2 linked regions of the Schizosaccharomyces pombe genome follow. The gene in region 1 interacts genetically with each later gene. Each region holds a gene or a part of one and is shown on either strand. Other genes may lie near its edges.

Region 1 (3,757 bases):
TACAACTGTGTTTACATAGCAACAATTACATTCAAACCCTTATTTATCTTTAGCTATACAGCTATTCTCAAACGAATTTCTCAAGAGGCAACATAGTACTTGATAAAGATTCAAACTTGATACACTACATCTTGACCCTATCTTTGAGTTCAGTTGGTAACCCAAACTTAGAAGCATATGGAACAGAAGAAACGGAGAAGGCAGATATTCATGCACCCTCATTTTTGTTAACAAATTTATCTGCTGAGGTTTATGAGTAACGATTTTGCATGCATAAATTCTTTATTTAACGAGTAAAATTACGTTATTATTAGACACGATTTTGAATGCATGAAGAGCAGTGCATGCTAAATTAATAAATGGTAAAATTAAAGAAATTAGGTTATCTAGAATGTCAAACCTTAGGTTATTTAGAATGTCAAACCATAACGACAAAAGGTATTTTACATTTCTCAAGTCACTCGTAATCAATTCAATGTGAAAGAAAACAAAGGCGTTCATAAACTAGAATGTGATGTTAAGCGCCTAACAAAAATTTGTATAAGTATAATGTTAGATGCATTTTTCGAGTAAGAGAACAAGAACTCATACTACGACACGGGACTTGATAAAAGCAATAACGTCAGAAAAAAGCGAAATCTAATTTATAAACAAAAGAAAAAGAATTTTTTAAAGGAACACAAAAAAATTATTCATTTTCACGGAACGTTAAGTGGCTTTCATAAAATTGAAGCATCTTCTGAGGACATTTTTTATTGGTGATAGTACTAGGATGATGAGATATTGCACCGTTCTTCCAAGTCAGATAAATTTCCAAGGTTCCATCATCTTTTCGTTCAATTGTATCGATGCTAGATACCAAGTCTTCCCAAGAATCATAGTTTTCTACTTGTTTAACCGTCAGCTCTCTGTTGTCCGGAAGTTTGGGAACTTCCGGACTAGGCTTCTTTTTCGGAGTAACATTGCTAGGGGTCTCTGCTATTTGAATATCCTCACTTTCATTCGATTCTTTTTGTGAAGGAGATTTAGACTCATTGTCAGATTCAATGTGACCATTCGGCTGACCAGAAGGTGGGCCGTTCTCATTAAATTCCTCTTGCGATTTATCGGCGAATTTAATAGTTTTCTCATTCACATCTTCAATCTTTTCATTGGAATCTTTGTCGTGTTTATCTTCATCAGTTTTACGAGACTTTGGTGAAGGCTCCTTTGCTTCGGGCTTTTTAGGTCTTGCAGTCCTCTTTCTTTTAGAAGGTTCTGGTCTTCCTCCATGTTCATTCCAATATGCTTCTATCAACTGTTTGCAACCGCTACAATCGGCTTCTGAACTCCATGTATTATCACTGGGATCGTCATAACCTTCCCATTTCAAAAGGTATTCATAGCCTCCACCTTTTCTCGCCATACGGTGTTTTAAAACCTTTTCTACAACATATTCATCCTCTTCTTCTTCTTCTCCTCCTTCTTCTTCTTTGGCATTTTCTTTCAATTTCTTCGACGAAGATTTACTTTCATGATCGCTTTCAACTTCATTGTCCGACGACCCAGAGTCTGCTTTATGAGAAGCAATAGCCTCCTTTGTCATGCTTGGTAACTCTGGTTCCGAATCGTCGTCAATAACTGATCGTTTTGAAGTAGAGGAGCGCCGATAAGATCGAACACCTCCTTTCTTCATTTTTCACTTGTCTTAATATGAAAATAAACGAGATTTCAGAATATTTTAAAAAGTACTAAACATCAATTTCGCGTTGGTCTTTACAGGTTGTTTGCTCGTTTAGCGAGACATGTTTGGCTTGCTTTTCATGGTGTACAGAATGGCTAGCATCACATAGAGTTCGTTTATTAAAATATTGCATAGAAGTACTGTATTAATCGTTGTCTAAAAGTTGATTAACGACGCCTAATTTTGCTTAGATCACTATCAGTAATAATCATTATTTCAAAAGCATCTCAATTTCCTAGTGATTTACTTAATGCGAAATACGAAAATATTGAACAAATATTACCGTTAGAAATAAAATTAACATTTTAAGTAATGCTGCGAGTAACAAGATATTTGGCTGTTACGGTTGGCATGCTGATTTGTTTTCTAAAGCAATGCTGAGTCTCTCAAGATTGATAAACAATCTTAACTAGAAAACAATTCCACCTTTTAAATTTCGTAGGCAATCATCGTCAAACAACAAAATATATATTCTTATGAGGATTCTTTTTGCACTACATATTACACTGAATAACTTAAGTCGTCAACGAAGTCCCGAGTGGCTCAATCGGTTTAGAGCGTCTGACTCTTATGATGGTAATCAGAAGGTTGCGAGTTCGAGTCTCGCCTTGGGAGTTTATTTTTTCAATTTTTTTACAATGATACTACAATTTTTGGAATGTAAAGATTACTTAAATACAAAATGGTACGTTTAAAGAAATACGTACTTAGGGAAATTATGATAAATTCAACTTATTTGAGCACTCAAATATCAAAAAGAATGAGTAGTTGATGAAGTATCTTCAAAATTTCAAAAAACATGAACTTAGAGGCATCTGTACTGTTTTTGTAGACCATGGTTTATTAACATCTAAAAATAATGAAAAATAGCAAAAACATATGGTGTTGCATTAAAAAATTAGTAACGAATATGAAAGCATAAACATATGGTTTAGCCAGTCCAAAAATAACCCAATGTCTTGTATTGCAAGACACGGCTACCTAACATTTTCCAATCGCTGTTTTTTATCCACAGCTCCGATACGATCCGAATGCGATTGTATATACAAGCACCCTTCCAGGCAACAAATTGAGCATCCATACTTCTTGGTGGAGGAATTACCGAAATAGTAGGGATGTTGGCACGCTTGGAATGGATACGCTCTTCCAGTAAATGAGCAAAGCCCGGGAACTGACCAGCTCCACCGACGATCAAAATGCTTGAGTAAAGATTTTTTGCCTTCTCATCACTTAAATTTCCATCACATGCACTAAATATACTCTGGTTGATTGCATCATCCAAAGGATATATCAGTTTCTCATTCTTTATTTCTGGAGCAGCAAGTGAGCCACAATATACTACCCGTGGAGGCTTGAATTTTACCGAAGGTGTCACCAAATCACTTTCTTCTTTTTTCTCTTCATCATCTTTTCCATTAGCTTTGATGTTGGATATCGGCGTAGATATTTGCAATAAAGTGGTTTGGGCAAGTGATTCGGGATTATTCGGTTGGTTGTCATATACATCGACCGGCACTGGAAACAAAGTATACCGATCATGAAGTTTATTTTCATTTTCAAAAATGTCAGGGCGAAAGAATCCAAGAGGTGCAAGCATTGTTTCGTCAAGGCTTTTAAATGTAAATTTTCTAGTCCCTTTATCAGGTGTTCGCGAAAAGAAGCTATTCAATTGAACATTATAGGTTGCTTCACTTAGGCCACAATATTTTATTTTTAAAGCATTGGCTAAAGACCAATCATACGGAGTTTTTAAGTCAATATCCTGATACGGGAAATGACTTCTCATGAGTAATTTCATGAATAAAAGCGTAATGTCATCTCCTCCATAGTTTATTTTTATCCTTGAGTTGGGAACGACAACCCCTTCTTCTACACAACTGATGGATGTTTTCTGAGCGCCCATATCGACAACACAAGCAGCAGACATTCCAGCACCAAATGAAGTGCACAGCGATTCTTGGACTATGGCAGCCTTTCCAAAATGCAAATCAAAAAATAAAATGTCTAATATTTTCTCCACGTACACTCTATCGT
Region 2 (3,757 bases), 2.0 Mb from region 1:
TCGTCACACGATCGTTCTCATTAGGGGATTTCAAATTCGTTACAGATGACAGAAGTTCCAAATTATTATAGGAGCCCGTATCGTTGGTAGCAAAGGAGCTACGTGACGGCTCAATTTCGTAAGGTCGATCTTCAGCATTCAATATTCCTTGTAGCGATGGCGGACGTAACGGAGAATTATTGGGATGGGCTATTGAAAATCCATTTGAAGATGGAGGTTCACTTGACAGTCTCATGGGAGGATTTCGAAAAAGTGTTAAAATTTCCCGCTCTTCGTCGGTAAAAGATTTAGGATTCAGTCCAATTTTGTTAGAGTCATTCATTATTTCTACAGAAAATTTTTCGTTCCCATTAGTGACAGAAGAGTCTACTAACCCGTTTATTTCCCTTGGAGTGTCTGTACGAGGAGATTCAGCAACAGTCATATTTGACAGAGAAGTCGTCGTAACCTGAGGCCCAACATTCTCTTGTGAAGTTAATGAATTATGCGCAGTATCTTCAGGCGCAAACTTCAACGATATGGAGCTATTTAAATTAGGATCTGAAATATGATGCCCATTTCGGTTACTTTTATTTGAAGATTGCACAAGAAGGACAGCAGAATCCAAAGAGTTTGCGCGATTGGGGCGACTATCGGTCTCCGATACATAACCGGTAACATTGGTAGCTGCAGAAGCCAGATTAATTTGTTTATTTTGAATGTCAACGTCCCATTTCCGTTTAGTGGGTGTACTTTGTATTACTGTATCAGATTGTATTCTGCTATGAAAATGAGCTTCTTGTGAACCCTCATTTTCTTCTTGAGCAACTCCATTTGCATTATCTTCTTCGGTTCTTCTTTGTGCAGCTGCTTGATTATTAATTTTGTTGGATAATGATTTTGGACTAACGATTTCGTATTCATGATTTTTTTCCTGAGGAGCAGAATCGATAGATTTATTTTCAGAAGTAACCGCTTCAACTCTATCTTCATTATTATTATTTACAGGTTTCGAATTGGATAGATTGTAAGGATTTTCAAAATCAGCTGGGAGGGCTTTGCCGGATTTTAGCTGAGGTGCTGATTGCGTGTCGGAAAAAACATTAGCTTCTCTTTTTTTTTGTTCATTTATAGCAGTTTCTCCGTCATCAATTATATTTTCATCCTCTATTCCACTTAAATTTCGTAAGGAAACATCATGCTGAGCTTGCTCAATTATTTCTTCGGTATCTTTCACGACGGATTCCTTTCAGACGTTAGATAAACATATCTGAAAAACATAATACGATTCAACTTACCTCGTCAAGGTCTTCAGAATCCGTATCGACATCGTAAGCTAAGTTAGCCTCCACTGGTTTGAAGGTGTCTGTGTTCAATTAGCTAAAAACGATATGAATTCAAACACGTACCTTGTATTTCTTGCTGACAAAGACTTAATTTTGATAAAAAATTATCTGTTTCTTCATGAAATCGATTAAGTAATGCAGCTAACTTTGTTTTGTTTTCTTCGTTTTCGTTTTGCACGGTTTCGAGTTGCTCTTCCAAGTTTATCGCTGTAGTCCTCAAATCGATATTTTCCGAAAGCAACCGTTCATTTTCTAACTGCAATTCTTTAATTCTAATTGATTGTGCCTTGCTTATTCTTTGTATGTGTTAATTAATTATTCAATTCCAACAAAAATGTATGCGTACCGTATAATTTCCTTATACTGTCGAATTTGCTTTTTTTTCACTAATTCATCAGTTGAGATTAATATAAGTATCACGTACAGTCTTCTACGTTCGGGGAAAGAGATGCTTTCGACATTATAAATAGAAAATCCCGATGTACTTCATTGACCACGTTCCCGGTGGAGGTTTAGTACTTAAACGCGGCTGTACAGCAGTATCATTATCAACAAGGTGTAGAGGTGCTGGATAGTCGAAGTACGAATTATTTGACTACTAATGATACACTCTTTGAAAAGAACATTAAAATCCTTTTACATTTACTATACTTTGAATTTACGAATAGATAGATAACTAAAGAAAGAACTACCATTCACTAATCCTTTCAGTGGTATTAATAAATGTTCAAAGAGAAAAATAATTAGCTATTAAAAATATTAATTATTAAAAATCAAGCTTGATTGAAATATGTCAAAACGAGTAGTACATGGAGTACTTAGTCGACATGTGATTTAGTCGTGAATTAATCTTGACCACGAAAAATTATTAATTAAATTCAATCAAATTATAACCCCCAACTTTCCTCTACGTTATTTTCTGTTTCCTCTTCGTCATTCCAGTTTTCCATCCAAGATTCGTCTATCTGTTCCTCTGTTTCAAAAAGAGGATTATTGAATTCATCCTTAGAGTTTTCAGTGTTTCCAACAACTCTACTTTTTGAATTTTTTTTTTCTTTTATTTCAGTGGTATCATTTTTTAACTCAAGCGACTCCTTTTTCATATCGATAGAAGGCGAAGGAGAAGCAGAAGATGAATGAATAAATTTGGACCAAAAAGAACCATTAAATTTTGCCGGTGCGGAAACATTTTCTTTTTCCCCTAAATTAAAGTTTTTTATACGGCTCAAAAATTGGTCAGTGACATCCTCAGCTGTTCTTCGTATTCCTCTAATAACGTCAAAAAGTTAGTAATTCCTAAGTGGTATACAGGTTCAAAAAAATCTTACTCGTTTTCATCAATTAGTAATGGCACCACCGATGGGAAAAGTTTGATGGCCACATCCTTTGTATCAAAGTAATTTTGAACTGAGAGGAGTACTTTTAAGGCTGCCTCTCTAGCAGGAACAAATGGGTCTTTAAGAGAACGTGATAAAGCAGCAGCTAAAACGGGTTTTCGCACCTAAATCTGTTAAAAATAAAGTCCTAACGTTTAGTTCTTCTTAGTCTTACGCTGGCATCTAAATATTCAGCAATTTTACCTAGACAAATGGTACTGTTGGTACGTAAAGTAGGATGTTGGTCATTTTGGACAACCGCTAAGCTTCGTAGTAGTTCATTATTCAATGTTTTCTTCGAAAGCTGTATACTAATTAGCAATTTGTAAGATAAGATGGCTTACTTTTGGTGCTATAATGGAAAAAACAACAATAGCATGTTCTTTTAAGGTGGGAGAATTGGAGCGCACAAGGTTCGCGAAAACTGAAAAGCTAGTGTCTTCATATATATTCTTTGGTAGCACGTCGGGATTGTTAATGATTCCGGAAAGTAGCAAGCCTCGTATGGGAACGCTTTGTTGTTTCAAAAGAGACAATAACGGTACTCCAAAGTCTTTTTCTATATCCGGTCTTCCTTTTACAATTTGAGCACATTTGAATAGAAGCTCAACGACGTCCGAATGGGTGTCAATCGATAATAGTAGAAAGAGGATGTTTAATACAACCTTTTGTATATAGTTTTTAGGAATTACTTCTAGCTTTGACGAAAGAAGTTGTTTTAATTTCACTCTATCTTCCTCTTCGTTTATTCGAACCTCGGACAAAAGTTCATATAACGTAATCAAATGTGTACGAAAAAACCCCCCAGGACGCTCGCCAAGTTTTAGAAATTCTGAAGCTAATAACTTTTGCTTTCCTTCCACATTCAACAGTTTTTTTGCAGAAACAAATATATTGGCTGGAATGTTTCCACGCTGAGATAAGTCCCCTGGCGTTCCATTATAAAGATGAGAAATGAACTTTCCCAATTCATAAGAATCCAAGTAAATGAATGAAGCACTATTTAATGTTGAAGACTGAATTTCAAACGGAACCAACCGACTCCAGTTCAGAATT

The links. A genetic interaction does not mean that the proteins touch.
Region 2: mutations in swi6 (region 1) and sgo2 impair growth when combined (synthetic growth defect), as found in Schizosaccharomyces pombe (4 studies listed by BioGRID, with this or other methods).

The regions. Positions count from the first base shown.
Region 1 is NC_003424.3:1,702,327-1,706,083, forward strand, and holds swi6 (heterochromatin (HP1) family chromodomain protein Swi6), read right to left. Parts: upstream 1,773-3,757; 5' UTR 1,676-1,772; coding exon 689-1,675; 3' UTR 80-688; downstream 1-79. Other genes in the region: Ino80 complex actin-like protein Arp8, read right to left, coding at 2,655-3,757.
Region 2 is NC_003424.3:3,712,216-3,715,972, reverse strand, and holds the start of sgo2 (shugoshin Sgo2), read right to left. Parts: upstream 1,832-3,757; 5' UTR 1,787-1,831; coding exon 1,750-1,786; exon of another isoform or gene 1,712-1,749; coding exon 1,672-1,711; exon of another isoform or gene 1,622-1,671; coding exon 1,389-1,621; exon of another isoform or gene 1,346-1,388; coding exon 1,278-1,345; exon of another isoform or gene 1,226-1,277; coding exon 1-1,225. Other genes in the region: protein kinase domain and HEAT repeat protein Ppk3, read right to left, coding at 2,213-2,594, 2,654-2,826, 2,877-3,005, 3,046-3,757. UniProt on the Schizosaccharomyces pombe protein: Involved in chromosome cohesion during mitosis and meiosis by preventing premature dissociation of cohesin complex from centromeres after prophase, when most of cohesin complex dissociates from chromosomes arms.